Linked DNA regions of Alligator mississippiensis. The protein of the gene in region 4 purifies or fractionates together with the protein of the main gene of each other region. This does not show direct contact. Links are inferred from orthologs where the notes say so. Each region holds a gene or a part of one and is shown on either strand. Other genes may lie near its edges.

Region 1 (7,681 bases), on a different chromosome or scaffold from region 4:
CCAAAAAGGTTGAAAACCCCTGTAATAAGGTAATTACCACAAGTAGTCAAACCCAGTGCTTTGAGACAAGAAGTCAGGGCTCTGGGCTTCTATTCTCTGCCACTGACTCTTCTTGGCCTCAGCTAAATTACTTAATCTTGGTTCTGGTTTCTTTATATTTCAAATGGGAACAAAAATTTTGATCCACCTCCCCACACAATGTTACCAATCACTTATGCTTGTGTAACCCCTGACCTTGGGTTTTGAAGAGATAAGCAGAGTGGGGTGAGGCCACTCAAAGTCTAGGAAAACCAAACCCAAGGAGTTGGTCTGAACTATGGCCCTCTGCTGTTTTGAGGGCTAACAGGAGTGGAAGTGGAAAAAATAAAAGAGCTGCAACATGGAGGCCATTTTTACCTGGAGCCAGTGTAATTAGAGCATGGGAGAGGCCTTGTTCCCTGACATGCTCCCAGCACCATTAAAGGGGCCCCAGGGAGATTGTGGAGGAGCCCAGTCTGAGCACAGCTGGGAGCAGGATCAACTTCCCCACAGAAGAGACACCAGCAGGGAGAGAACCTGACTGCTGATAGAGTGGGTGCATCTACACATGCTGTTAGCACGCAAAAAACTCTGGTACATATCGCACTGGAGTGTATTGCTCCTGGGCACACCACCTGAATGTGAGCCTGAGTCTCCAGCATGCTAACCAGGTCAGAGAAACCCTAACTGGCAGGGGGCCCAAAGGTTCAGCCTGCCAGCCTGGGGCTGCTCCAACCCAGCTCAATGTGTTGTGGAGGGGCTCGGCTGGGCCATGAGTGTGCTCCAGTGTGGGGCTAGCCAGCAGGCAACCCCCACACAGAAGCACTCTCGTGCACCAGCCAGCCATGTTAGACTACACATGCAGTACTGTGAAGTAAAAAAACTCCACAAAAGGGTAGTGCTTGTAAATACTCTTTGCTGTGGAGTTTATTACTTTCCTGTAGCCTAATGGGGGCACACATGTAGATATAAGACATTTGCCACGCACCTAATTAGTCTACTCCACTGTAAGTGTCTCGTGTAGACACGCCCAGTGAATTGCACTTAAAAGGCCACAGAAGTTAGCGTAGTCAGTGTGTTGTGAAGTGCTGAAAGTCCTTGTGCCATCTGGAACAGCTCTTACCTGTGCACAAGGTAAAGAGCCTCAACCCAATGGGTCCGTATGAGACTGATGAGTTGAGGTTTTAAGTTATACTGGTGAAAAGGGAAATTTTGTTATCAGATTTCCGTGTGGGGTTTCATGGCTTATATTACACATTGTGTTCTAATGCCTACGCACATAAATTTATCTGACTTGTTTGTACCCTCTTCTTACTAAAGCAATGTTTGGGGACACTGACTTCCCACAGCCACACCAGGCAAGGGGTTATACATGCAAGTAAGTTTAAGGGGTTTTACAATATGAGGCAGCAAAGCTGTACAGACCACTGAGAGACAGACCTGCCCATCTGAAGACGATGTTTAGAGTGCTGTTTTATTCCCTCTTCCCACAAATTGACACACTGATCTGCCTCTTTCTCATCCCTCCAGCAATGGTGCACACTGTTATCTCATGTTTTCTAGCAGCAAGTCCCAGGCATTAGAAAGAAGGATCTAGAACAGAGATGCTCAATCTCTGGCCTGCGAGCCAAATGTGGCCTGTGGAGCTTTGGATTCCGGCCCTCACCAGCACCTAGGGATGATTCCCTAGAGGGGAATCATCACTTCCCTCGATCAGCTGGCAATGCTCCTACTGATGTAGACTAGTATGCTGCTAGCCTTCTTAGCAACAAGGGCACTGGTGAGGCCACATCTGGAGTACTGTGTCCAGTTTTGTGCCCCCCACTACAGAAAGGATGTGGACATGTTGGAGAGAGTCCAGTGGAGGGCAATGAAAATAGTTTGGGGGCTAGGGCACACGACTTCTGAGAAGAGGCTGAGGGAGCTGGGCTTATTTAGTTCAGAGAAGAGAAGACTGAGACGAGATTTAACAGCAGCCTTCAACCACCTGGAGGGGGGTTCAAAAGAGGATGGAGCTGGACTGTTCTCAGTGGTGACAGATGACATTAAGGAGCGATGGTCTCAAGCTGTAGCAAGGAAAGTTTAGTTGGATATTAGGAAAAAACTCTCACAAAGATGGTAGTAAAGTACAGGACCAGGCTACCCAGAGAGGTGGTGGGGTCCCTCTCCTTAGAGGTTAAGACCCAGGTGAACAAAGCCTTGGCTGGGATGCGATGAGGGTAGCCAGCCCTCCAGGATTGCCCTGGAGGCTCTAGGAATTAGAGACAAATCTCCAGGAGATGCCAAGAGTCACCCAGGAGATAAACAATAGACCATTCATTAAAATAAATATTAAATGCTGGAGCAGATTTGTACAGTAATCCCGTATGTTTTTTAAACATAACAGTCGCGTGCATTTTGCCTTCCTGACGTAAAGTCTACATATCAAAATCCATAACTGACGCATGCGGGCACGCTCGCGTCGCGTGTCACGGGTACACTGCCGTTCTGGAAACCTCCCCAAATAGATTAAACCGAGCCACAACCCTCCATGAGACAGCTGGGGCTGGCCCTGCTCGGCGCGGGGGGCTGGCCTACATGCGAGCCCCCAAGATCCCTGCCAAACCTGACATGATTGCAGGAGGAGGGGAAGACCCCCCTGCGGCAGCCGGGCCGGCACGAGGGTGCCCCTCCGCGCTCGTGGGCAGCTCCGACAGCCCGGCTGTCACCAGAGGCGCCCGCAGGCGGCACCGCGGGGCGGGGAGGGCAAAGCCTGCCCGGAGGATGAGGAGACCCGAGCGGGGTTATGGTAGGCCCCTGCCCCTGCCCCGGCCTGCGGGAAGCCGAGCCGAGCCACACTCACGATCATGTCCTCGTGCGACGTGTCCACGGTGTTGATGACCGACACCTGCGGGGAACAAGCGGGGTAGGGTCAGACCACCAGACTATGTACCACCACCACCCCCCCGGCCCCGGCGCCTACCATGGTGGCGGCGGCGACACCGGCCTCCTCCTCCTCCCGCTCCCGCGGCGGCGCTCAGACGTGGCAGCGCCCGGGTCCGCCGGCAAAGACGTCCCGGCCGGAAACAAGCGCGGGCGCGCCCGGCTTCGTCCTCCCCAGCGCCCGGGTCCGCCGGCGAAAGCGGCCCGGTCGGGAACAAGCGCGGCCGCGCCCGGGTTCCGCCCGCCCCCCGCGCCTGGGGTGGAGACGCACAGGCTGAGCGTGAAGCCCAGAAGCGGGGAGGTGCTGCGCCCATAGACTCACCCGGGAGCTGTTTCTGGCGGTGTCTCCTGCACGTGATGATTCTGCACAAGCAGCCTCAGCTCAAACCCTTGTGCTAGGTATCTTGATAGATAGACATCTATACAGACTGAGTAAAGAAGAGAGCTCTCTCTGCACATCTCTGCTTTGAGTCTGTAAGGTGCAAACCTCCGTGCTTGACTTCACGCAAACTGTCCTTGCACAGCAGCTGATAAAACAAGCAAACCTCCGCTCACAAATGCTGCTGTATAAATAGCAGTATTGATCGATGGATACAGATAAGGTGCAAATCTTTCTGTTTGATTTCAAGCTAGCCTTTCACTGCTATAGGCATATCTAGGTAGGTAGGCAGATATAACTCAAGCTTTTGGGGGCTAAGGTTCACTTCATCCTGTGAAAGAAGGTGCAGAAAGCTGGGAATAAGGAGAGAAAAATTAGAGTACAACATTCAAGGGGGAGAAGGAGGTGGTGCTGGGAGAGAGAAGCAAACAGGTATTAAGCCCATATTCAGAAATCTGAAGAGAAGTCTGCAAATGTGGCAGCTGCATTCCCAGGGCTTTTACTACTTCATGGTTAGCCACTTGACTTCCCCCAAAAGGCTCAGAGCAACAGCAAGTAAAAAAAAAAAAAGCACTAATCTACTTTAAAATATTACCTAAAAGACAGTTTTGCATCCTTTAAAAAAGGCATCTAATGGTAACAAGGAATATATCCATTCATCAAACAGTCATAACAGAGAGAAACTATTTCAGGGGCTAAGAGGGGTTGTGAGCTGATATTTAAAAGAAGGGAGGCTCAGAGAGATGTGCAAAGATGCAGTAATTTGCTGAACTCGGACAACAACAATGGGGCCTTCAGGAACTGTTTCAAGAAGGGATGGGATCTAATCTAGAGCCTTTGCTCTTGTTTTGTGGAAACAGCAGTGAGGACAATAGATTGGGGGCCAGATGCTTCTAGTTTTGACACTGCAGGTGGCTCCTCTGAGGTCTTGGGTAAGTAATTTTGTTTCTCCATCTCAATTTCTCTATCTGTGCACTGGGGAGAATGATGTCTATTTTCCTGTGTGACGTGCTTTGGGACCTTCAGATGAAAGTGTAAAAGTTAATAATGTTCCCCAGATGTTTAAAAGCCAAAAGGATGGAGTTAATGTTAATCTGCAACTTTACAGGCCACAGTGTAAAGATTGAAAGGCAGGTGCAATCTGATCATGGTTTACAGAAGACAGTGTGTCTGTATTTGGGACAGCTTGATAGGGAAGGAGATAGTGTATTGCTGTAGGAGAAAACCAGAAGCACCTGTTTTGTTCTCAATGCATTATGGCCACCTGAGTGCACCTTGCAGCCTCATCATCATCACATCCTCCCCCTCATGCATTCCCAGAGCTGAGCTTACTATCTCTGAAGTGCTCTGGGCTCAGCAAAACAACAGTTGGTAAAAGTGAACTTCATTGTCCTTTCACGATGAGGCACTTCCTTATGTTCGGACAGTGTTGGCCTGGCACACCAGGGTTTTGGTCCCTGACTGAGGTCCCTGAGCACAGCCACAGTGATAATGTAGCAGGTGGACTTTAAGGAAACAGATAGGTTTTTCAGCATTCCTGCCATTTAAAAGCAGTGTTCCTGCTTATATTCTTCCAAGTCATTTTACAGTGCAATATACTTCTTGCTATTATTTCTACTTGTCGACTTTCTTACCCAAGCTGCGTGTCTTGCAGCTTGGGTAAGAAAATCCGCTTGGCACTTTCTGTTTCTGATTCTTTTGCAATAGCACAGAGATGCAATGTCTGAGTTTCCAAAACATTTACATTCAAACAAAAAGCTTTGCTAATGTTTAATTTAAATGGAGAAAAGTTTCCATTCCAATTTTGGTTTGTAAAACAAACATATCTACAGCCCTGTCATTGCATATTGGGGCTCTGTTCCCTTTACAAGCATAACCATTTATAAAGTGGTATCAATGAGATCTGTAGATCATTCAGATGATTTGCTACTGAAAGGAGGGAGAATGGTCTTGTAGTCAAGGGCGTGGTTTTTATGAGATATGGATCTAATTCCTACCCTTGCCACAGACTTCCTGACTGACTTGGAACAAGTCATGATACAGGTGCAAAATGAGTTATAATGCTGTCTTTTTCTTCTAATTGTTTGTGTTGCCTGCTTAGAACGTGAGCTGTAAACGGGACCAAAGTAGCCTTAAGGATATATTAAATGCTTTGGAAATTGGGACCACGAGCTGCTCACAAAAACGATCTTGTGATGGAAGTTCTAATACGATTTGGCCAGTGACGGCCATCACTTCGGCAGTGGTGGCTGCTTGCCTGTTCTTTGCCACCATAAGTTCTGGTGCCATATACTGAATATAACCCAAGAGGCACTGGTGATGCCTGTGTTTCTCCTGTTCTCTTGTGGCATGTTTTAGTCCCCCTCCCTTTTTTTAATCAGGTGTTTTCTGTCTCTGAGGCACCAGAAGATGTTCTTGCAGATGCTTTTTGGACAAAGAGCTACCTGCGATGGCTTGGGAGACCCCTTCCAGTCCCGTGTTCCTTACAGGAGAAGTGTAGATGGAAAAAGGGAGGGAAGAAGGGACAAAGCTCACCAGGAGAAGAACATACGGTTGGATCCATTCGCACGTGCGCAGTTTGCAACGTTCGAGTCAAATTTTGAAATAGTCCCAACAAATGCTGTTGCTGAGACCAGTTGTTCCTGTGAGCTGCTGAACACGCCATTATTGCTTGGCAACTTACCATGGGCCTTGTGTTGTTCTCGGAGAGGATTTGACCGGCAGGGCTGGACCGTTTGGGTTAGGCGAGCAGGCTGTTTTGTCCCGAGGGAGCGGGAGAGAAGATGTTGCGGGAGAAGCTGGGCCTTGTGGACAGTGTTCTCGGAGAGGATTTGACCGGCAGGGCTGGACCGTTTGGGTTAGGCGAGCGGGCTTTTTTGTCCCGAGGGAGCGGGAGAGAAGATGCTGGTGGAGAAGCAGCCAAATAGACCGCAGAGGCCCAGGCCTGTTGGAGGAGCAGAGGAGACAAACCCACAGGACAGGGGAGGTTAATTCCCAAAGTTACTGACTCAGTTGTTTGGGGGCCCCCTGCAAGATGCAGTTTTGCCGTGAAGAAGCGAGGGGGTGGCGAGCGGACGCACACAGGAGACCCTCGTCTGCGGGGCCCCCTGCCGCCACAGGGTTTGGGAGGTCCCAAAAAGCAGTCCTAAGGGCTGCATTTGACACAGCGCAGGCGGAAGCAGGGGTCACTGGAAAGGCTCCTAGGCACGACGGGGAAAACAGCCATTCTTTCATCAGCCTAAGCTGATGGATACAAGAACAGGCGGAGTTTTTCCCAGTTAAAGCGCGGAGTTGAGGACGAGGCTGAGGGCTGCCAGCGCGGCTGTCCCCGGCGGCGGGCGGGGGCCGGGCCGGGGCGGGGCGGGCGGGCGGGCGGGCGGCGCGGGGCTATTTCTGGCGGCGCGGCCGGGCTGTTCCAGCGCCTTCCAGCCGGGCACAGGCGGCGGCGGGGAGAGGAGAGGGAGCCCGACACGGACACGGACCCCGGGCCGCGGGGCCTGGCGCCATCTTCTGCCGGCGGATCCCCGCAGGGCCCAGGCGGGCCGCGGCGCCGACATGACGAACGTGTCGTACCACATCTCCAACCTGCTGGAGAAGATGACGTCCACCGACAAGGACTTTCGGTAGGGCCCGGCCCGGCCCGGGGGGAGGGGGCCTGGGCCGTGGCGCTGCCCCGGCGGGGAAGCGGCGCTTGTTGTTCATATCATTTGTTTGCTTTTCGTTGTATATGTCACGATTTACATCTCGTTTGCGGCTCTGGCTGTGGCCGAATCGGCCCAAACGAGCGCCGAATCGGAGAGTTCGCCACTGTCCCCGCCCGCCCCCCGCCTCGGTGTCTCCCAAACTTTTTTTTTGTAAAGAAATGTTTGGTGTTGCGGCCAAATCCAGGAGTCGGTGCCGACCCGCAGCCGGCATCATCCTCCACCCGTGTGTGGGGCTTCGGATATCTCCAAACCGCGGGCGGGCGGGCGGCGTGCTGTGCTGTGCTGTGCTGTGTGCAGGCCCGAGCGCGGAGGCGCGGGGTTCATCTGCCCTCACCCCAGCGGCCACAGGAGCCTCCCGTTTCCATAAAGTGCTTTAAGCCCCGACACCGAACCACGCCAGAAGAGCAGTTGTATCCCCGGGAACGCTTGAGGAAACCTGCCTTGGTGGACCTGGATACGTGGTGTTTCCCCGGCATTGCGCTGTTTCCAAATCCGTTGGCGGGCATCCTACTTGCAGGCCTGGCTTGGGGTTCGGATGCCCCCGAGTTGCGCTTGCCCTCGGCCACGCGGCCCTTGGAGCAAGCGAGGGAGGAGACTCCCGTTTCCATAAACCGGGCTGCGCCTCGGCGGGTCCTGAACCGCGCCGGAAGAGCGGTTC
Region 2 (7,769 bases), about 330 Mb from region 4:
AATTTTTCAGAAAGTCTCCTTGTGTTGCCAGGACTCAAATTCAAGTTTTCTCCGAAACTATTTGCTCCAGGTACGTCTTTTATAGTAAAAAAAGCCAAAACAAAAAAACCCACTTCTTGCTTCAGGCTATATTACAAAAGTATGCCCTCAAAAGTTCCAATAAATTAAACAAATATCATTAACAGATTTGTGGTATTATTCTAAAATATTCATCGTGGTTCCTAGATCCAAAGGCTACTACTACCCTCACAGTGCAGTACATCCACGTGATAAAGGTATATTTGTGTTCTGATATGCAGAAGTTTAATAGTTCCTATGGCCAAGGTATTTTCCTAGAAGTAGTTATAGCGCAATTAACTCCGTAACCTTATTCATCTTTCCTGTGCTACTGAAGGGTGCAAGTAACCCACTGACTTTTGAGGTCTCTTTTGACAGCTGGCTTACAAGCCATTTCCCATCCCCCTCACTCCAATCCAATTAGAGGAGCTTCTTCTATTACTGTAGACTGCAAATTCAGATGGGGAATCTCAAACAGCATTCAACCCTTGAGGATTTCCTCTAGCAACTGGCTTTACACTCAGGTAACTACTGAAGGCTTTCTCCCCTGAAAGTAAGCTTGAGCTGGACAAGAGTTCTCTTTCCTGTGAAAAATTAGCTCGAGGCAGCGCAATAGTACGTGCCCATTTCTGGACTCAAATTTGAGCACGGTGACAGGACGTCAGAGGAAGACGACTCCACTGCCACCCCTTAGGAAAAATAAAGACAACTCCTCACCCCATGTAATAGGAATAATTGGTGTTTATTGCTTTCCCTGTTTCTCCCCTCTCTCTTCTTACCTAACCCTTGCTTCTCTAGCAATCTGCTCTAGAACCATTGCTACTAGATAGGAGACAGCTCCACCTTGGCTGTCGCCACAAAGGAAAGCGACCTGTGACAGTTCACTAAGAACATGAGCTCAGCAGCCATCAAGCAAAACCATTAGAGATTACGAAGAAAGGAATTGTAAACAAAACTGGAAGTATCATGATGCTCCCTTAAAAATCCCTGGGGCATTCGCACCTTGAATACTGCGCCCATTTCTGGTCTCCCTATCTCAAACAAGATACCAAAAAACCGGAGGAGGTCTAGAGCAGCGTTTCCCAACATTTTCCAGCCCAAGGCACACTTACTTTAATAAAAATTTTCTGCGACACACCTGTTAAGACATTCCCCCATCCTCACGCCTATTGTAACTCATTGCCGTGGCAAAGTTCGGCGGCACACCTGTTTGTTTCTGATGGCACACTTTTGTGCCACACGCAGTTGGGAAACACTGGTCTAGAGAAGGGCAAGAAAGATAAGTGGTAGGGAGGAGATACTAAAGAGGCCAGGCCTCTTCAGTTTAGGAAGAGACACCCGAGGGGTGACAGGACAAAGGTTTACAAAATATTAAGTGGTAAAGAGAAAGTCAAGAGGGGTTCATTATTGACGGCCTCTCACCATACAGGCAGCCCTCGACTTATGACGTTTCGAGTTGCAACGAACGGCACTTAACGACGTTTATAAACCGACACCCCGTTTCGACTTTACGATGCCCGATCCGACACCACGCCAGCAAACAAGGTCGCTGCGTCGCCCACCTCCCTGGAAAACATCTGTCCAAACTTCCTCGGACGCTTTAAGAAAGCGGATAAGACTCGAGAAAACCCTGCAGCCGGGGGAGACTCTGGCCAAGAGCCCTTCAACAAGTCTAAAGTCACCTCAAAAAAGTCCTTCCAAAACAACAGGATCGCTGTTTACGATATAAATACATCAATGTAGCTATACTACTCATCTATAATCGTAAGTGATTTCATGGATTCACACGTGTGTGTATACATGGCTATATGTCTCTCTCTATATATATTATACACACACACACACATATATGCACATTTGTGTGCGCATTAATAATAATAATAGTAATAATAATAATGATGATGATAATGATGAAAAGAAATAAACGGGGATAGGGACAGGAGTCAATGGCTCACAACGCGGGCACGCGGAGTGGACGTTGAAAATGTCCAGCACACCTACAGCCTAGGGAATGACCTGCTGGGTGGCACGGAAGTGGAAAGGGATCTCGGAGTCCTAGTGGACTCCAAGATGAACATGAGCCGGCAGTGTGACGAAGCCATCAGAAAAGCCAATGGCACTTTATCGTGCATCAGCAGATGCATGACAAATAGGTCCAGGGAGGTGATACTTCCCCTCTATCGGGCGCTGGTCAGACCGCAGTTGGAGTACTGTGTGCAATTCTGGGCGCCACACTTCAAGAAGGATGTGGATAACCTGGAGAGGGTCCAGAGAAGGGCAACTCGTATGGTCAAGGGCCTGCAGACCAAGCCCTACGAGGAGAGACTAGAGAAACTGGACCTTTTCAGCCTCCGCAAGAGAAGGTTGAGAGGCGACCTTGTGGCTGCCTATAAGTTCATCACGGGGGCACAGAAGGCAATTGGTGAGGATTTATTCACCAAGGCGCCCCCGGGGGTTACAAGAAACAATGGCCACAAGCTAGCAGAGAGCAGATTTAGATTGGACATTAGGAAGAACTTCTTCCCAGTTCGAGTGGCCAAGGTCTGGAACGGGCTCCCAAGGGAGGTGGTGCTCTCCCCTACCCTGGGGGTCTTCAAGAGGAGGTTAGATGAGTATCTAGCTGGGGTCATCTAGACCCAGCACTCTTTCCTGCCTATGCAGGGGGTCGGACTCGATGATCTATTGAGGTCCCTTCCGACCCTAACATCTATGAATCTATGAGGGCAAGACCTAAAAATAAATAAAGGAAAATAAGATAGGATAACAAGGAGAGGAGGGCGGTGGGGAGAGGAGTCAGAGGGCGGGCGGGGGAGGGGGTTGCTATGGAGCCCAGGAAGCAGGATGCGGCCTGTCCGCCCGGAAGGCCTGGGCCGTCGGCGGGGCGGGCGGGCGGCCGGAGCCGGGGGAAAGCCCGCAGGTCGCTCGCGCTCAGCCCCTCGTGCCCGCGGGGGGACACCCCGGCGCGGCCTCCACCCCGCGGCCCGGCCCCGCTTACCGAAGCCTGGGCCGCGCCTGGGCCCAGCGCCGCCGCCACGACGCTCGCTGCCGCCGCTACCGCCGCCTCGCAGGAGAGGGAAACTGCGTCACACTCCCCTCACGCCCCGCCCCGGCCCCATTGGCCCGCCCTGCAGCCGCGGCCCCATTGGCCGCCGCGGTTCGAAACCGAAGTTGCCCGGCTCTCATTGGGCAAGAGCGCCTTCCCCCGCGCTGATTGGGCCGCGGGGTCGCGTTCTGATTGGCCGAGGGGGGGAAGGCCCAGCAATCCCCTCGCGCCCAGCCGACATCCGGGGCTTTTCGAACCGCTGCCCGAAAGGCGGGGCGGGGCCAATCAGAGGGGCGGCCTGCGGTTCCCATAGTGAGGGGGGGGGGAGCCGCCAAACACGTCCGCACGCCGGCACAGGGTTGATGTGCGCATGCGCGGCTCCCCGCACCCCGCCACGGGAAGTCTCCCCCCGCAGCCGTTTTGCGGGAGGGATGCGCAGCTGCATCCAGAGGGGCGGGCCGGCTCCGCCCGCTGGGCTGACTGCGCCGCCGGCTCCGCCCCGCCGCCCGGCCCGGCCGCCGCGCGCCGTGAGTCCCCCCCCCCGCGCCCGCCTCCCTCAGGGGTCCCGGGGGGGGGGGCGCTGACGACAACTGGGGGCATGTGGGGGGCACTGGGAGGGGTGCTGGGGCCCGTGGGGGGGTCCCCAGGGGCAGGGGGGGTGCGGGAGATCTTGTGACCTCACGTTTGCAGTGTGGGGGGGGGGGATTAAAGCGGTGCAAATGGGAGCAGACTTCAGGTTATTGGTGCCAGGCGCGTGTGAGGGGTGAGGGGAGACGGGCACGGGGGTGCTTTGAGGCGCGGCGTGTCCGCGTTGCAACCGGGGCAAGGCCGGCTCCGAGCAAAGTCCGCCGGGAGAGCGCGCGGTTGTCATTTGCCGACGGGGGGGGGGGAGCTGGGATTCGGCGCGATTCGGTGTTACGACGGGGCGTGCGAATCACGATGCCCGCTGAGTCGTCATCCCCCCCCCCCCCCCCCCCGTGCAAGCCCGCGCGTGTTCAATGCGTGATGCACACCTGCCCGTGCTGCTTCACGTGACCGCCTCTGACCCCGAGGGATTTGCGGGAGCGCTCTCGGCAAATCCAGCTCGAAGAGGAGGACGCGGCCCCCCCGCGGCAGCAAACTCGGTTTCGGTCGGATCTCGCGGCAGCGTGTTCGTTGTTGGAGCGGGATAGACGGGCGCCTCTCCGGAAAGCTGTGGGCTCCGTCGCAAGGAGAGGTTCGATAAAACGTAGTAGGCGTAGCGATGCCTGCGCTCGGCTATGGGGATTTCCCAGGTTTCTGGGCCGTGCTGGTTGCCTCCCCTGCTTCTGTTGTGTATGTCAGGGGATTTGTAAGCCTGCAATGATATATAATTGGGGCTGGTCCTGCTTGGAGCAAGGGGTTGGACCGGAGGTCCCTTCCCCCCCTCGTTTTCTGTGATAATGTCCGTTTTCGTGGGATCGCCCCGAGTGTATTTTAACTATCTTTTATAGAAGCAGGACACTGACTGTTGTGGTCGCCCTGCTTCGCTCGTGGCAGGTGCGTGGTGTGCAGACTTGTGCCGTGCCGGGGTTGATGGTAGTTTTACTAGGAGGTTAGATTATGGCTTGGATTGGGATGATCCTGCCTCAGGCCGAGGGTTAGACTACATACTCTTTGGAGGTGCCTTCCAGCCCCACTTCTCTATGATTTCTATGAGTCTATATTAGTCTGCAGGCTGGAAAAGGGGGCCACGAGGCTCGAGCGAGAGGCAAGGCACCCTGGTTAATAAAGAGGGGTCTAGACACAACCCGGCAAATTTTTTTGTAGCTCAAATTGTGCTGGGATAACGTTGTCCTCTGATGTATTTCAGCGTCTGATGGTGATAAAAGCTGAGGATCTGAACTTGCCCGGATCCGTGCTGTGAAACGTCTGCTGCGCTGTTTTCCCCAGACGGTCCGGAGGGTCGGGCGAGCCTTGCTGGTTCAGGGTCCCAGCTCTGCAGCCTCCGGACCTGATCCGGAGAGTTGCTCTCAGGATTGTCTGTGATGGAAGCGACTGACGTGCAGCACCGTTTCGGATTAGTCCGTGCGGGACTCTCTTTCTCGCTCCGTTCTTGACCCTGCCCCTAGATTAGGGGGTCTGTCTGAATCAACGCTGCTGTAGCTTCCCCCCCTCAACCCCCACAGAAGCTAAACTGCAACCTGCCTGAAGATCTGAGCCGTTACTCACGTTGCTTGTATTTAGTCCGGCGATGCAGAGTTTGAACCTGGGGTTTCGGATGTGAAAGGTCATGCGCCGACTTGCTGCACACCTTGGCCTTTTGCATCGCTTGGATCTGCTGTGGCCATCGGCGCTGGGAAGTCCTCCTGTGGGAGAAGGGGCACCCGTCAAACACTGGCTTTTTGCTTCTAGGTCCAGCAACATGTTTCAGTTACCGCTGCCTCTGGATCGAGATGGGATCCTGTTTCGACTTCGCTTTACCACCCTGGCGGTTGGGACCGTGTGTTGCCCGCTGTTTGGGTTTCTTTTCTGCGTGATCTGGTCTCTGCTGTTCCATTTCCAGGAGACGACGGCTACACACTGTGGCGTAAGTTACAGACCCTCTAATCCCTCATAGAGGGAAGTGTGTTAAAGGTATGGCTGCTAGGATTGGTGGTGTGGTCTACTGGTTTGAGTAGGTGGCTGGACATCTGGTGTCATGCCTCCCCTGCTGATTTGCCGTGTAATCTCAGACAAATCACTCTCTGCTTCTATCAGTTTCCTCGTCAGTGAAACAGGAATAATTATGTCCTCTGTGCTATGCATTTTTCATTCTCATTAGTAAGCCAAGGAAATACAGTAGTTTAACCTAGACTGGAAGGTGGATACATAAGTGGTTGGATCATCATGCTCCAAAGAGCAGCCCCTGATGACTCACTTTAATTGGGAGGTGGTTTTGAGGGGGGTTTCCCAGGGGTCTGTGCTTGCCTGGTATTACTCGATATCTCCATTCATGCCTTGGACCTGACACCAAGTCAGGTGGAGCTGCATAACTTTGGAGGGATTTAGGATCCAGAATGACCTGGATAGACTGGAGCAATGGTCTGAAAGTAATCGAGTGAAATCCATTAAGGACAAGTGCAAAGTCCCACACGTAGGAGGGAAGGCTCTCATGTACAGATATAGCCTGGGGAGTGACTGGCTAGGCTACAGATTGCAGACAAAGATTTGGGGTTCACTGTGGACTGGAATCTGAATGTGAGCCAGCAGTGTGCTCTGGGTGCAAAAGAAAAAAAACAGTCAATAGCACACTGGCCCATATTAATGGAATAGTTTCTTGCAAGTCCAGGGAAGTGATACTTCTCATCTGTTCAGCGTTGGTGCGGCCTCCCTTGGAGTATTGTGTCCGGTTTTGGGCACCGCATTTCAAAAAAGATGGGTACAAATCAGAAAGCATCCAGTGGAGAGCAGCACGAGCGATTAGAGGCCTGGGAAACACAGTATGAAAAATTGGAAACACTGGGATTATTTAGTCTGGAGAAAACAGATGTGATAAGCCTTCAGATACTCAAAGGGTGATTTTACAGAGCATTGGGATGGACTATTCTTTGTGGCTGCAGGGGATAGGACAAGGAGCAATGGTCTCACATTACAGCAGGGGAAATTTAGGTTAGAGATTAGAAAGAGCTTTCTCACTACGAGGGTGGCAAAGCATTGTATAAGATACCTAGAGAGGCTGTGGAGTCTCTATCCCTGGTCGTTTTCCACAGCAGGTTAGACTGACATTTGGCTGCACTGGTTTAGCAGGGGGTCGGACTAGAAGACCTGGGGGTCTTTCTCTATGATTATAAAAGGTAGGGACTCATCCTCTTCCACCTGTTATGTGCTTATGTGCACAATCCTCATTCACCTGAAAAAAAACCTTTAATGCACCCAAGTTTGTAACACGACTTCCTCTTCCCCTCAAGACCAAGTCACACAAAACAGCAAGCAGGAGGACAAGCCAACTTTTGTATAATAGCTTTTCAGGGATTTGAGCAGTGGCACAGCATCACACTTAGGCACCTAAGTCCATCTGGACACCTAATAGGTAGGACAGGATCTGGCCTGTAAAAGTTTAGAGAGCAGTAAATGAGACCTTCTAATACAGAGTCCTGATGTCTGATCCACAAACTGTTGTTTCTTCCCTAGGTCTCAAATTACCTGCCCTCCATCAGTGCAGCTATCGGAGGTGAGACCCCTCAGCGTTATGTGTGGCGTTTGTGTATCGGCCTGCACTCGGCTCCACGCATCTTGGTGGCCATCGCGTACTGGAACCACTACCAGAGTTGCCACTGCACGCACCCTCGCTACCTTCGGCTCTGCCGCTTCAACTTCGGGCTCAACCTGCTTGAAAACATTGCTCTCCTCCTTCTGACATATGTGTCCTCAACCGAAAATTACGGTAGGTTTCTCCCTTCCCACAGCAAACGTGCACGCACACACGCACGTTCCCTTAAAATCAGCGGTTCATGTCACCATAATAAGAGTATCTGGATCTTGTATAGAAGGCAGCTGTCACCAAGGGATTTTGCAAGCATGAATTAGTCAAGCCTCATAGTAGGACACTGGTGTCAGAGATGGGGTTTGAATTTGATGCTTCTTAGCTCCTGTCCCTGCATCTAGACCATATCTTATCCCTTTGGGGATGCACTTCTGAAAATGAAAATTCCCCGCTCCTGCTGCTGGT
Region 3 (7,769 bases), on a different chromosome or scaffold from region 4:
AGGCTGGGGACTTTAACTGGGGATCAGTAAGGAATTTTACCCCATGATCAGATTGGTACAGATGGTGAGGGTTTTTTGCCTTCCTCTTTAGCTGGGGGTGTGGCCATTTACCTGGGACCTTTTGAGCATATTTTGACAACATTTAATAGAAGCAGGACATTGGGTGCCATGGTTCTCTTGCTTTACCTGTGGCAGGTTAGGATGTTAGGTCTATGTTGTATCAGGGTTGATGGTAGTCTTATGTAGAGTTTAGGTTACGGATTTATATAGGATGGTTTGGATAGGGATGATCCTGCCTCAGGCAGAAGGTTGGATGAGATGACCTCTGGAGGTCCCTTCCAGCCCTACTTCTCTATAACTTTATGATTCCGTTTCATCATGAGCCTCAGGTTCCCAAAGCTAATCTGCCTACATAATGACCTGGTTTACTCTATCATATCTGAGTCTAATTGCTATATAACTCTGCTTGCATTTTTGTAATGCCTTCCATCTAAGAATGTCAAAGTTCTTTACAGACCCTAATTAACTTAGTTCCTCTGTGATAAGTAAGTATTATGATTTCGGTATTATAGATTGGGAAAAGTGGAGCACAGATAAAAAGTTACATGACTTTCATTAGGGCACATAGAACAACTCTATAAATGGGAGAGAACTATTGAACAGTTATCAGTAATGGGCCACTCTTGACCCAGTACAGTAGATAGTTAATTATTGTTGTAGCTGTGTATAAAATACCTTTTCAGCACCATTACATAAAGTATAATTAGCATTAGTTGTCATAAATATATCTTTCTTTTTTTTGGAGCTAGAACTGAAGCCTATGGAATAGGTAACTGCAGACCTTGGATATCTTCACTCTGAAGAATGTGCCTAAACAAGTGAACCAGTGATTCTCAACCAAGGTGCCATACAATCCTTTTAAGGTACCACAGAATATTAGTATGTTTGGTGTGCAAACACCTACATATGATTCATAAGAGACATCAAAAGAAACAATAAAAATGCCTTTAAGTACATTAGAAGCCAAAGATATGCCAGGGAGTCATTTGGGTCTTTGGATGATCAAAATGTAAAAGGGGTGCTAAAGGATGACAGAGCCATTGATGAGAAACTAAACACATTCTTTGCATCTGTCTTCACTGTGGAAGATGTTAGAGAGATTCCCTGACCAGATCCACTCCTCTCTAGGGACAAGTCAGTGGAGCTGACTTCAGCTCTCTTAGCTACTCCCAGGTGCAGTCTTGGGTCCCTGACCCTGTCTCCACCTCTCCCAGGAGCTGGGCCCCTAGCCCTGACTCTGTCCTTCTCTGGGCTAAAGGTCCCTGACTGTGTCAGTGGCCCCCTCAGCCTTTAACCCCTACCCCTGGGAGCTCCCTCAGGCAGTGAGGTCTACAGCTGCCCCTGTGGCACTCTGCATGGGGCTGAGCTCCACCTGCTCCTGCCCAGGGTGGCCTGCACCATGCTGCTGCCCAGGGTTTGATTTACACTCTGACTCTTGATGCGGTCTGCAGTGGTGGCAGCCGTAAGCTGGAAGGAGCAGCCGCCACCGCCTGAGCTGCTTAGAAAGGTGCAGGGCAGGCTGGGAACTGTCATCTCTTATGGGGGAGCTTATGGGAGCCTCTCATCTCTTATGAGGGGGCTCTCATCTCTTATAGGAACCTAGGAGGGAGGGTGGAACCTTTTTTGTTCAATCCAAAAGTAAATATTTTGAATTACTGTTTACTTTTGAATAATTGATTATTGGTAAATTTTAAAACAAGATGTCATTAAATAAATGTTGTTATTTGTCAGCCAAAACAATTTGACAAAACATACATTAATTTGAAAATCATTTTGATGGACCTAAACAATATATTAAAAAAATGATACTTTGACTGAAAAAAATTACTTATTCACTAGTTGTTCTTTTGCTTTAAGCTTTGACTACATTAGTAGATCATGCAAACTGCAGAATAATGGCTTTTTTGACAGATGAATCACTCAATGACTGGAAACAATTCTTCTGGAAAAAATGAGGCATTGTTCTGTATAAATATAATCAACCATGTACGGTAAGAGAGAGGCGTGCTTCACAAAAAACAGCAAACAAAAATACCCATTTAGGAACAGTACTGTGAATTTAAGAACTTAGAAAACATTAAAGCTGTTTTATATTACAGAAAATGTGTAACCAGCTAGCTCTTTTGAAGAAGCAGTTCCTTAGGCTACAAGAAGTCCTACTGCCTAAACGTCCCTAGACATTGCTTTTTTCTGGTTAGCAAGTATTGGATGGTCCCAGATGAGTGCACAAATGCACAGCTTTGTTATTCTACTTTATTTTACAGTAAAACCTCTTTGTATTTCAGAAATGTGTAATTTTATTATAATATTCAACAACATTTGATTTCGTTTTAAATTACAGGATTGCAAACACCAAGCATGACCAACTTTACTTGTTTTATCATTATTTACACTGTGCATTTTTTACAGCTTACTTACTATATAGCAAATTATGAAAAATTAACTTAATTTTTTTTTGCATAAGATTGAAAAATGTGAAGTATTTTCAAAGCTATGTGATTATAGCTCTGCAATCCAGGCTGGCATCTTTTTTGAAGGCTGATTCTTACAGTACAGCTTCAACATCAAAAGCATTAAAACATCACTCCTATCTACTCATTCATTCTAGGTTTCCATTCAAAATTATCCATCCTATTTTTCAAAACTCCCTACGAATTTGCTACAAGTGATTCTCCAGGCTTGACCAAATTCCCTTCTGGAATAAGAGGGCACGACTTAATTCCTCTAATTTCTAGAAGGACGATTTGCAAATCTTCCTCTGCTGGTTAGCGTCTTTCTCTCTATTCGAACTCATACATCAAAGTGCTTCTGAGGCATCGCTTCTTGAATATTTGGCTGTCAGTGTAATATACCAAAATCTGAACTACTCATCTCTGTTCCATAAGCCTTAGCCATCTTTCATTCTCCATAGCTAGCAACAGTTTTACCATTTTTCCTGCCTAATGAGCCTTCTTCAAGGTACAGGTGTTTTAAACTTTTATTATAACACTAGCTAATTGCCCGTCAAGAATGAGGGATTTTAGAGTGTTTACATGCCCCGCCTCCTCACCCTTCAGGGCCAGCCATGTAAAGACTCCTTCTGCTGTCACTGCCTCTTCCTCCAGCCTCTGCTGCAGGGGCTCCCTCCTTCTGCCCAGTTCCCTTCCCCTCCTTTCCTCCCCGCCACCTCTCCTTCCCTGCCCACCACCGTGACCCCCTGCTGCTTCCCTTCCTTCCTTCCTTTTCCTTCCTTCCCTGCTGCCTGGCCCTAACAACAGCCACCACCATGACCCCCCCTTCACCTCCCCCCCGCCTGTCCAGGCCCACACAACCTCCCTCCCTCCCCACCCTGCTGGCTGTTGTTGAGGCCCCCTTCCCGTTCCCATCCCTCCCTTCCTCCCTCTCTGCCACCTGGCCCCAGGAGCCACCACCGTAACCCCCATCTTCACCTCCCTCAGCTTCGCTCCCCTCCCTTCCTCCCTGCCGACTGTTCTGGGGGGTGTCAGGGATGGGTGATGGCGGGGGGGAGGGTGTGCTGCCACCATCTACCCCACTTTGCCCTCAGGCAGGGAGGCATGGGGAAGCTTTCCTGCTAGGGGGCATGTTTGCCACTACCACAAACTTTGCTGGCAGTAACTCAAACATGGGCCAGCGCAGCCAATCGCCGCCTCCCCTCTCAGTGGTGCATGCAGTGCATGCAGGAATGGGGCACAGGACTTCATAGCTGTTTCAGTGTTTGTAATTAAAGTAAAGCAAATTGCTTCAAGTCCTTTTCTCTTTTTCTGTTTCTAGTGAGGGATCACATTTTCTAGGACAGGTGCTGTGGGAGGTGGGATCCTCCCCATAAGGGAACGTGCAGGAGTCACACTAGCATGAAGTAAAAGAGGGGGACCACAGGGGAATTATAAAAGGACCTCTTGAATGCATGGGTGGATCTAGGATTTTGAAAAGGGGGGTGCAGGTGGAGGGTGCAGGATTTTGAAGCAGCAGGGTACAACATCCCGTATAACACAAACACATTGTTCCTTAAGTGAAAAGGCAGCTAGAAGATCTACTAATATGTCAGAGGCCCAGTGCTGTATAAGATCGAAGCAAAAATATAACTTTATTGGAACGTATACTCATTTACTAGGTTATAAACTTAAAAAAACACAACAAACTTGCTAAAAGAGCCCCAAGATATTGTTGTATTAGCCCTGCAGCCACTAGAGCTCAGCCTACATCTCTCCTACAACCAAGTCTGGCCTTCTGGAGTGTCCTGACAGCGCACCCAGCCCTTCACGGTCAGTCGTGGCTGCCCCTGGGTTCACGTCCACCTCGGCCAAAGTTTGCAGCTAGAGTTGGGAGCAGGATGCAGCGCGGGGCGACCCGAGAGGCTTGACCAGGAGCGGTTAGTGGGCACGACGGGGGGCGGGGCTAGCGTTCTGCGAAGGGCGGGTGCGGAGGGCGAGGTGCGTCGTCTCCTCTAATCCGACACATTTTTCTTCAGGGAAAAGGATCACGGCGCCCCCGGCTGTCATGCGACACGGAAGCAGACACAAGTTGTGCTGCCAGGAGCCCGCAGCCCGAGCGGCGCCGACCTCCCGCCGCTGGGGGCGCTGTGCGGGCGGGGGAGCGGCGGCTTGGCGGGCGCACAGCGCCCCTTAACGGCCGCGGGCGGGCAGGGTAGGGCAGGGCGAGCGGTGCCGAAGGTCGGCGAGCGGGGGACTAGGCGCCGAGGATGTTTGTGGCGCGGAGCATCGCGGCGGATCACCGCGACCTCATCCACGACGTCTCTTTCGACTTCCACGGGCGGCGCATGGCGACCTGCTCCAGCGACCAGAGCGTCAAGGTGCGCGGGGAAGGGGGCGAGTCCAACCGTAATGGCGGGGGTGAACCCACCCCTCGCGCCTGCTGTGGTCTCGCCCGGCCTTGTTGGCGGCCGTTGGGCGAGTCGAGTCGAGTCGTGCTGTGCTGTGGGGGGGGGGAACCCCCTGCCCGCTCCCCCCCCCCCCCCGGCGTCTGCTGTGGTCTCGCCCGGCCCGTTGGCGGCGCGGGCGCAGGCGGGCCCTGGCCCGGCCGGCCTGCGGCAGCCACGTGGTTCCGGCGGCGGCGGGCGGGCCTGGGGCTTCCAGCGCGGGGCCGAGCCGTAGCCCTTCCCTTGGGGTGCTGCAGGAGCCATTTACGTTAGGTCCTGCGCGTGTGCGGGGCTGCGGCCGCTGCTTAGGTCTTTGGGGTTGGAGTCTCCTCACTTGCAAGTGCCGGGCCCGGAGGGAGACTGTGGCTACGGGGACGCCCCGGGGCCTGGGGCAGTCTGCCAGCCCCTTCTCCCGGCGGGGCTTGGGGGGGTCAGTGGGTGCTGGCTCCGCTCCCTGCTCCCCCTTGGAGCCCTCATGGGTAACTTTTGACCCCCCCCCCGACCCCTTTCCCGCTTCATTATTGCCCCCAGGTTTTGTCTTCCGTTGCCTTCCCCATGAAGGGAGGCTCATAGGTGTCTTTGTGGGTGTAGGCCTGCTGCAACCCCATTGCACGACATGCCAACAGCTTGGTTTTCAAGTTTCCTTTCACTAAGTGGAGCCATATCTGCCTTTCATATGCTGGTTTTATTTATTTACTTATTTTAAAAAAAGACAGGCATTGTTAGCAGGGAAGTTCCCCTAGAAGGTTGGCCTGGGCCTCTCTTTTGTTAACAAGGTAATAAGGGAGAAATTAATATATTTTAAGCAGACTGCGAAATGTACTACCTCTTCCTTTATGAGCATCTGCAGTCACAGCTGCATCTGCATATCACTTGTAAAATGTAGGTGATGAGTAGAACTGTATCACTTCAAATTAAGCTGATATAATGTAAAAGATAACATACTTAAGGAAGGTGTGACTGTCTGTGAAGGTGAAGGAGTAAGGTTTAATAATATGTTCAGGGTTTGCTGTTCATGAATGGTATAATGCTGCTTTTTATCATAGAAACTTTATGTTCAGTAAGTCTCATGCAGTCTCGCATGTGTGGTGGTATTCCATTTTTGGTCTAGTTTACTCTACAGGGTATTGTAACCTGAGAGATTGCACTGTCAAGTAGCCAACATCATAGCTAATGCTGTATCAGAGTACCATGTGAATGTAGGCTTGCAGGCAAAATTATTTCCCTTAAGTTTGCCTAGTGAGCAAGAATAGATTGCATATGCCTAGTGCACTTACTCCTTTGCTGTGATTGGTGACTTCTTCAGCCACTTATGTGAAGGTGCCACAGAGCGCGTCTACATGAGATGCTGACTACGCAGTAGCCTAGTACTTCTGGGCAGTAGTGTCATGTGGCAAAAACTGTTACGTGATGCTACTGTGCAGTAGTATCACAAAAAAGGTACTGTATTTGCCAGTGCTGCTCTGCAGAAACTGAGGTTACTGTGCATTTATCTAGTACTTGTTAGTACATGCATTAAATAAACGAGCAGTAATAACTGCGCAGTAGCATCTTGTGTAGACTGTCACAAAGATCCAGCTAGATTGCCCCCATCTTTTTTGGTATGTGAGATTACTGAGGAAAAGAGAGTGGAAGTGATTTGATCAAGGTCCTATACCCAAATGAGAGACATTGGGCGTAGAAAAAAGACTCCTAAACTGTTGATCTTGTGTTCTGACTGCAGATGTCCACAAAGGAAGAGGTAGTAAATTTCACAGTCTGTTTAGAATATATTAAGTTTTCTCTTACTTACTAACTTACACATTTTTGGAAATGTTTGAAGCAAGTCTTTGGCAAGATTTGCATCTTTTGTAGTACTGATATAACACTGTTACTTGTCTAAATCTATCTCAACCATGCAGTAGGTCCAATAAAAGATATCACCCATAAAAACGCTTGCCTCACACATGTTCTGGACTGTCATTTATTTTTACAACATTTCATATACTGTATTTATTTGATTCTAAGAAAAGGTTTCTCCCCTCATTTAACATTGGGGAGAAAGCCCCTTCACTTAAAATCAATATGAAGGCAGTGGGATATGTAGTTGCAGCTGCTCTCTGCCCTCACTGCCAGCTCTGCACTGTGCCATCTCCCCCTGAAGTTCCTTCCTCCCATGTCCCTACCCCGTGCAACTCTGCTCCTCTACCTGCCCCTTTCTTCCCCTTTCCACCCCCTTACCTATGCTTCATGCCAACAGGTTTTAGCCATGCTGCAGTTTGGGGCACTGCTGCTATGGACCTGGGCTAGGTCCGAGTTTAGGGCCTCAGGCTGGAAAGGGTCTAGAGCCTTTCAACACAGAGTAAGGATAAGGGAACAGGGAAAGCGGGGAGCAGTCTGGGGAGGGGAGAGGGGAGCAGAAGATTGGGACAGGATGGGGGAAAGGCAGGGCTAGGGCTGGGGGTGGGGTGGGAGGCCTACAGGGGGTAGAAGTGGCAATGTGGCAGGCACATGCAGGTGGCAAGCTACTTAACCTCTCCATGCAACCTGCCTCATTGCCTGCCCCCCTGCAGCAGTGGAGGGCATGAATTAAAGGCAATCCTCCAATAATTAGTTTCTCTACATGGGAATTTATAACAAATTTATAGTTTTTCCATGTAGAGAATCTGACTGTTGGGGGGTCATCTTGAATACAAGTAAATACAATATTTTTAAATGTCAGTCACTTGAAAAATGTTTCCATGTAAGTGCTGAGTTGCATTTGTAGTCACCGCATTAGGAATATTGAAATTTTACTTGTTTAGACTTGTCACCTAAAGTCCCAATCCCCCCCACCATTGTCTTAAAGTTGTAA
Region 4 (7,701 bases):
GAGCATACATGTGACCACACAGACAACAGATTTCCAGAAGGCGAGTTGAAAGAATGGTCAATTTTTTTATAAGGATTCTTTTTCCTCTTCATCAAACAGGAATGATTTCTCTTTTGGGCACGAGGTGCTGAAAGCATTGGCAACAAGACATAGATAGCACCTTGCTAAACAAATCTGTAGAAACTCTGAAGAAGAAACTATGCAAAAAATATGTGGACTTTAAATTAACTGTTAGTGAGAAGATGAAAACTGGGGCAATAAAGACCATTGAAGACATGGTCACCTACATACTACAACAGGAACAATTTAGTGAACTGTCATTACTTGTTGACATCTGTGCCACTTTCCAGGCATCTAGTGCAGATTGTGAGAGAGGGTTTAGCCTCATGAACACAATAAAAACAAAGTCTAGAAATCGTTTAGAAGCTGATAATCTGGACAAGCTGATGCAAAGTAAACTTCATTTAGCATCAGGAAAGACTGTTAACCTGGACACTGTATATTCTGTTTGGAAAACAGAAAAAGGTAGACAGGAGTCACTTTGGTAAATAAAGGTTATAGTATCATCTTTTTTTGTTATACTGAGGCAGACCAAAGTGGCGCGTGCTGAAAGGGGGAGGTGGGACCAATTCGGGAACGGATCGAAACGGCGCGCTCATGGACTGCTACACCTTAAAGGGAACACTGGCCAGGAGCTGGAGCCCTGCGTGCTGAGGCAGAAGTTGTCCAGCTGTAGCTTCCTCACACCTCCCCACCTACCTGGCTGGGTGTGTGGTGCCTGGAACATGTTCCCACAGCCACCACTCCTTCCCCGTGACTGCCTGCCACCCATACCAGTGTAGTAGGGGCTGGAGGAGGAGCTTCTGGAAGTGGGGAGAGCTGAGCAGTACCCAGGCGGCTGTAGCCACAACCAGAGCAGCCCTGAAAAGAAGCTGTGCACACTGGCTGGGGATGTGACAGGCAGGAGTACAGTAGGAGTGTGGCACAGGATGCCTTGGCACCGTCTCCCATCCAAGTGCCACAGGCCAGATGCAATCAACTGGCGGGCCTGATCCAGGCTGTGGGCCATATTTTGCCCACCCTGCGATAGATCCTGTGGGCCAGATTTGGCCTGGGAATCAAAGTTCCCCCCACTTTGCTATAAACTCAGGAACCAACTAAAAAACTATTGCCCCAGAATCTTGAAATATCTCCCACCAGAAAACATTAAAAAGCTTAAGAAAATATAAAACAAGGCTATCCTATTTAAATTCCCCAATTTAGGGATAGGCCTCTTTCATACAACCTTAGTTCCTTTATGTAGCAAACAAATCAACAATGCCCAAGTCCATAAATATTAAAGTTGAACTTTTTTTTGATTAGGGGAAGTAGATTTGTTGTTCCTCTAAAAGGATCCCCCAGGTCAGGGGTGACCAAGATATGGCCCACAGAGCCATGTCATTCAGCCTACGGGGCTACTCATGGGTCTGGAAATTTGACAAGGGAGTGGTATAGCAGCATTAATTACCACAGCTCCCAGAGCCATGACAATTAACACTGTTGCAGCTCCCGTGCCAGTAAATTTCTGGGCCCATGGGTAGCTCCATAACATGGTCCCACATGCTGGATCCAGCCTCTGCAGACAGGCCCTAACTCAGACGGCCAGATGAGTTGAACACCATCGCCCTAGATCATCAAATCCACTCCCTTACTCTTACAGGCCAACATACATACATTAATGACTTCACTTCTTAAAAGTAGTTAGGCTTTCTGCTCCCACAGACTTCTGGTTTTGCTTTTGCACGCTTTGATTGCCCCCACTTCCCAACTGGCCTCTGGAGGTTCTTAACCTTTTTTGTACCAGGACCCATTTGTCAACATCAATAGCCAGTGCCAACCCAGTGCCTCTCACTCCTGACCCACTGCCCTGTCCCCACAGTGTGTAGGTCAGGGGGTGGGTATGTGGGGCAAGGGGGGGGGCCCAAGCAGCCCCTGGCAAGCTGGAGCTCTACCAGCCTGCAAGGGAAAAGCCACAGTTTGCCAAGTTTTTCCCTTTTAAAGAAGAATCCATTTTAAAAGTTTGTTGATCCACTGTTCAAGTTTGTTTGCAACCCTTTTGTATATTCTTGAGATCCACTTTTGGGTTGCGACCTGGGTTGAGAAACGCTGCTCTAGATGCAGGTAGATATAGACACCTATCCAGAGAGAGGTGTGTGGGAGAGAGTGCGTGTTTTGTGAACCCCAGATCCCTCCAACAGATGCTGGGAAAGGATACACATGAGGCAGAGTGTAAGAACAGAAAGGAAAAGCTTTTGCATCCCAGTTTCTTCTCCCCTCCCCCCGAAGACTCTGCCTTCTGCACATCCTCTCCCAGCATCTGATGAAGGGAACTGGGGCTCACACAAGCTCATGTTGTACATTTTTGGCACTTTTAATAAGGGGGAAAAAAAATGTATCTCCACAAAGAAACTTCACCGATTTCACACTTAAAGCATCAGCAAAAGTTATCACACTGGCAGGGATACAGACATGCATCAAAAAAAGACTTGACACACAAAACACACTCCCTCCTGTGTCGCTCTCCAAAGGCACTCTGATACCCACCTCCTGACTGACTTCGGACTCGGGCAAGGACCGGCCTCTCAGGTCTCCCCTCACACAACGCCCCCTACCTCACGCCATTCTAGACCTCGCGGCGCGGCACGTGCGGGTAGCCAAGCGCCCACCCCACGCATGCGCGTCAGGGGCAACAAAGCCAAAGCGAGGCGGCGGCAGCAGCAGGGGGCGGGGCCCAGGCGGCGCAAGGGTTTCCGCGCAGCGAGTGGGGTGGGGCACTCACCGTGCTGACAGGGAGCCGCTCCTCCTGCCCGCCGGGGAGAAGAGCGCGGGAGAGCCGACCGGCGTCCCCAGGGCCAGGCTTCTCCTGCCGCCCGGCCGGGACACGGAGCCCCCAGCGGCCCCCAGGGCCCGACGGGCCGAGCCACTCGGTGTGCGCGGAGAGGCGGGGGGAGCAGCGAACATGGTGGGCAGAGGGGGCAGTTAGGATAAGCGGGGGAAGGGCGGGCGGGCGCGCGCGCTCCGACCCGCTTGCCTCCAAACTCGCCGGGGCTTCCGCCGTCACTCTCTGCGCCGCGCACTGCTCTCACATCACGCCCAGCCACGCCCCTTCCAGAGCCGTTAATAGCCAACCTGACAGGGCATCCCACCCAGAGGAGGCGGGGCTTCTGTTCCACCACTGCGGGCGGGAGGGGAGGGGAGGGGAGGGGAGGGGCTTGGTGTGCGGCCGCCGGCTTGTAGGGGCTAGGCTTGAGGCGCGCAGTTAGCTGTGGCGCATGCGCAGAGCGGGGCTGGGAGGGGTGCTGTGTTACCTTATGTAGGATAATTACCGTATTTCTCGGATAATGTCAACTTTTGTACAATGTGTAGTAGAAGTGTTCAAAATGTACGATCTATACTTTTTCCAGAGCCTGATGAACGGCCTTTGAGCCCAAAGGTTGGAGAAAAGGATATTTTTTTGCGAGTCCCCAGTTGGTCTAATGAAAGGTATCGTTTTGAAACCAAGAGGTCTAGATTTTTGCATTTCATCTCTTGTAGGCCAAGTGCTTGCAGTGGCCCTGGCTAGCAGCTCATGGCTACATGCCCTCAGGGGCTTCTGAGGTCCCCCTCTAGAGAACTTATTTTCACATTTTGATCCTTTGACCCCCACATCATTTCTATCCAAGAAATTAGTTGCATCTTTCACCCTTTGGCTCCACAAAGGCTATTAGTTAGCTGGGTGGGCCTTAAGGCCCATGTTAATATGGAAGATACAAATAAGACAGGAGCTTCTGAGGCTGGGGCCAGTTGGTACCTGAGGACACTAGCCCCTTGTGATGAAGCAGCCCTAACCTAGTGGCCCCTGCACCCTCTACCCACTGCAGCAGTCTGGCAGTGGGGGCTGGTGCCTGGCTGTGACCTGCTGCCACCTGCGACAGCATCCACCCTCTTGGACCTGCAGCCCCATGGCGGCACATCTGCTAGACCTAGACGGAAGCTGCATGGCCACCGGGGCTATGGTATGGGCACTGCAGCAAAGCCACCTTCACCTCTGGGCCAGCTGCCAGTGGGCCATGGATATGGCCTTTAGGCAGTACTGCTTTCATGTTTTCTGGTGCCCTGGCTCTGCCATTTGGACAGCTATCACCTAGAAGATGTGGTCCTTGCAGTGGCCCTACTGTCAACGTTTCCCTTCCTGGCCCCAAATGGCCAGGAAGTCAGCCAACTCATCTGCCCTCCAGCTGGGTCCTCAGTGCTGTCCCTGGGCAGGCTCCTCTGCCCAGTTCCTGCCCCTTGCTTCACCAATAGAGATCCTGGTGTTCCTCGTCTAAAAATCGCAAATTCTCTGATAAAAAACCCTCAAATTCTCTCATTAAAATACCGAAAATCCATGTTCCTCCACGATTAAAATTAAATACCACTATATATAGAGAGATCAGTTGGGCAATGTTTTATTGATATATTTACAATTTTAAAGGAATTCAGAAGCCTACCCAGTGCCTCTATCATTATAATAAACAAATTCTAAGTATCTACACACTTTGGCATCTGCTTTTAGTTTTTTTTGTCATAGAAAAGTTAGAGCTGCCCCTGCCCCCTTTGCTCACCAGGATGTGGGACACTGAGCAGCGCTGATATGCCAGTTCCCTGCCCCTACCCCTCACTCCCAAACCACAGCCCCTGCCGGCCTCCACTAGCTCCATTTCTGGCAGCAGCTCTGTACCAGCACCAAGACGTGAGTCCAGCTGCAGCTGTCCCACCTACTGCTTCGTGGCTCTAAGCAGCGCCAGCCCTTGCTGTTCTGCTCCCCATGCCTGTGCCCAGGCTGCAAACAGAAAAGGGCAGGAAACCCTGGTGTTTTGGAGCACAGCGTTGGTGGCAGGGTAGGGAGGGAACAAGGGAGAGAGGGGAATATTGACAGAGGGCTCCCCTGGAAGTCCCACCTCTCCCTGGAGATTGACAGGTAGCCATCTGTCAGTTTTGGAGAAGAGGCAGGACTTCTGGGATCCCTTGATTGAAGGTGTGGCAGGGCCTGTCATACACGGCTGTGAAAATGGCACCTGATGCCATGCCAAGACCATGAAATACAGAGGCAGCCTCCATGAATTAAGTAGGTCCCTAGTAATAAGCCCTGGCCACCAGGCAGTCATAAAAACATCAAGATTAAAAGTAGTACATACAGGTTTTGACTAGGTTAGGGTGCCATTGTGATTGTTCTTAAAAAACTTCTAATAAGATGGCAATTCCAACCTCAAAGAGCTTACAAGCTCAACGGGGCTCACAACTGCACTGGAAAATCCCATTTACTTCTCTTCTATACAAGAGATGCTGATAATAATGCAGAGAAAAGCCAGGGACAAAGAACATGCCATGTAAGAGGGGTACCCAACCTCCCATGGTGTTCTGCAGGAGGGTTAACAGAAATCCCTTCTTAAAATGGTATTAGGCAGAGGGGAGATCTGAACCAAATTTCATTTTCACATCCTGAGTTTCTCACATGGATCCTGTTTAAATTATCCTTATTAGAGATTAATTGTACCCCTTGCATCTATGAGACTATTTCTGAACAAGTTTTGCCTTTGGAATAAGTCTGCTTTAGCAGAGGTGAGCTTTGGGACCATATGATACAATCCTTTCTTTCCTGTTTCTAGAAGAGCTTGTTCTCGCTATGGTACCTTAAAGAGCTAATCAGAAGACGGCAAAGGAGAGGCTCATGTTAAAAAGAATCCCGAGTTTAAGGTGCTTACACTTGAAAAAAGACCTGAAGAGAACTATTTACAAGTTACACCTCTTTTTCTGCATACAGTGATCAGTACACATTGAGTTTCAGGTGCTGAAGAAGAATACGACATAGGCACTAGGGTCATTAATTCCAAAAATGCAGAATAGGAAACTTGTGTTTTTAAAAAAAAAAAACAAACCTCTAAAAATTCCCATCACATTGTGAAAACAGGACAGTTCCAACATGAGATGACAGGTACAATAAATGTTATTTATAAAATTTTATTCCATAATAAAAAAGTTACTAAAAAAAAAATACAACCAGGAAAGCAATGCTGAAAAAATACAGTCAGTTAATATAAACAAACAAGTTCATTTTAACAGTAGGAGTTGCAATACACTGTTCTGTCCCCCCATTACATTGGTTTTTGCTTGGTTTCCTTTCCTTCATCATACTACAGTGGACTCAAAGGCTGCATGAAACCAAATGGTCCTTGGTAAAACAAGTCTATCAAGATTGTCAGTGGCAAGGATGTCTTAGGGCAAGATCTTTTGTTGGTCCTATTCTGTCCAATAAAAAGACAGCACCCTAAGACATGTTTTCTCTTTGCATAATTCCTGGACCATCATGGCTACAACATCACTCTTACACTATCAAGTTTGGCAGAGACATACATTAACAATTTACTAGAATTAGTCTTTATATGGGTAACCATTCAAAAGATTCCCTTTTGAACCAGAGAGAGCAATACTTCACATGTTTTTAAAGACATACTGTATATTTAATAGTTTCCTTCATAGAAGAACTAAAGTCTTCCTACCAGCCTCAGAGCTAGAACTGTATATAACTGCAGTAAAGGGTGTATCTGTACAGAATAGATCTATTTTGGATGTATGCAGTAAGCCAGACCCAAATAGAGCAGTACCTACACGAGTTGTAGGGTCTGTAGGTTATGCAGCTATCCACAGTGCCCAGCACAGCTCCCTGCAGTGGAACATAAGTGCTGTGATAGACCGTTCATTTCCAACTGAGTACATTTTTCAAGTGTGCCTAAAGGATATAAGAATTCAAATGCCACCGAGTCTTACTAAAATATCAATTAGATATTTCTGAAAAATTCCCTTGTCCATCACATTTCTGGTTTGCCCCCATGAATGCTTCCCTCAGTTCCATCCTGAACAAGGGCCTGCTATAAACTCACATTGCTACTGTGCCTGTCATGACGGAGCCACTGGCCGCCTCCTGAATCAAAGCTGAAGTGTCTGTTTACAAAACAACCACCAGTGAAAAAGCAGTGTTCATACATTCATTTCCTTGACAAAAAAAAAAAAAAAATTCTTTAGCCTGACTGCTTAAGCTATGAACATAGATGAAGTGCTGGATGAGCCCCTGATGAATAATTATCCATATGAGTAACGGTTTTCCAGGTCTAGCCCATCATTGAGAAAGGGGTATGTAGAGAAAATAATTAGTAGGTAGCACTGAAGTTTCAAAAGTACTGCTAAGGTACATTTTTGTCTTATAGATTTGGTACCATCTTTTGGCACAACTGTTGTTTACAATTAAGAATGGAAAGGAGAAAATCTAAAGCCTAGATCAGGGGTTGTCAACCTGGGGGTACTTGGGAAGGTCCCAGGAGGTATGCAGCATTGACCCAGAGAAGCAGGGGGTGGGCCGCTTTTGTTTCCGTGCTGCCGATGCTTCCGGTTTTGCCACTGCGCGCCACCGGCACTTCTGGTTTTGCCACTGCGCAGGTGGGTGCGCAGGACCCCACCCCCCAGCCCCCAACTGGCTGCCAGGGTTCACCAACCAAAAAAAGGTTGAAAACCCTGGCCTAGATTAATAGATATTAATTAACATCTAGAAATATTTTTAGTATTCCTTTTAAGTTCCATACAATGGCTTAATTATTAAATTAGAAAATAAGCCACTTAAGGCTTTCAGTAATTCTCTCTGAAATTCAA

What was found.
Region 1: the proteins of NUP133 (region 4) and SEC13 purify together in Homo sapiens (affinity purification with mass spectrometry; 4 studies listed by BioGRID and IntAct, counting the BioPlex papers as one, with this or other methods). This does not show direct contact. The link is inferred for Alligator mississippiensis from reciprocal best matches to the Homo sapiens genes NUP133 and SEC13.
Region 2: the proteins of NUP133 (region 4) and NUP98 purify together in Homo sapiens (affinity purification with mass spectrometry; 6 studies listed by BioGRID and IntAct, with this or other methods). This does not show direct contact. The link is inferred for Alligator mississippiensis from reciprocal best matches to the Homo sapiens genes NUP133 and NUP98.
Region 3: the proteins of NUP133 (region 4) and SEH1L purify together in Homo sapiens (affinity purification with mass spectrometry; 4 studies listed by BioGRID and IntAct, with this or other methods). This does not show direct contact. The link is inferred for Alligator mississippiensis from reciprocal best matches to the Homo sapiens genes NUP133 and SEH1L.

The regions. Positions count from the first base shown.
Region 1 is NC_081835.1:15,062,971-15,070,651, reverse strand, and holds the start of SEC13 (protein SEC13 homolog), read right to left. Parts: upstream 3,090-7,681; 5' UTR 2,984-3,089; coding exon 2,981-2,983; intron 2,906-2,980; coding exon 2,861-2,905; intron 1-2,860. Other genes in the region: cullin-associated NEDD8-dissociated protein 1, read left to right, coding at 6,875-6,942. UniProt on the Homo sapiens protein: Functions as a component of the nuclear pore complex (NPC) and the COPII coat. At the endoplasmic reticulum, SEC13 is involved in the biogenesis of COPII-coated vesicles.
Region 2 is NC_081824.1:481,358,897-481,366,665, forward strand, and holds the start of NUP98 (nuclear pore complex protein Nup98-Nup96), read right to left. Parts: upstream 3,156-7,769; 5' UTR 3,053-3,155; intron 1-3,052. Other genes in the region: PGAP2 (post-GPI attachment to proteins factor 2), read left to right, coding at 5,352-5,648, 7,232-7,484. UniProt on the Homo sapiens protein: Plays a role in the nuclear pore complex (NPC) assembly and/or maintenance. NUP98 and NUP96 are involved in the bidirectional transport across the NPC. May anchor NUP153 and TPR to the NPC.
Region 3 is NC_081826.1:97,973,420-97,981,188, forward strand, and holds the start of SEH1L (nucleoporin SEH1), read left to right. Parts: upstream 1-4,689; 5' UTR 4,690-4,759; coding exon 4,760-4,870; intron 4,871-7,769. UniProt on the Homo sapiens protein: Component of the Nup107-160 subcomplex of the nuclear pore complex (NPC). The Nup107-160 subcomplex is required for the assembly of a functional NPC.
Region 4 is NC_081824.1:149,061,585-149,069,285, reverse strand, and holds the start of NUP133 (nuclear pore complex protein Nup133), read right to left. Parts: upstream 3,112-7,701; 5' UTR 3,001-3,111; coding exon 2,819-3,000; intron 2,664-2,818; exon of another isoform or gene 2,584-2,663; intron 1-2,583. UniProt on the Homo sapiens protein: Involved in poly(A)+ RNA transport. Involved in nephrogenesis.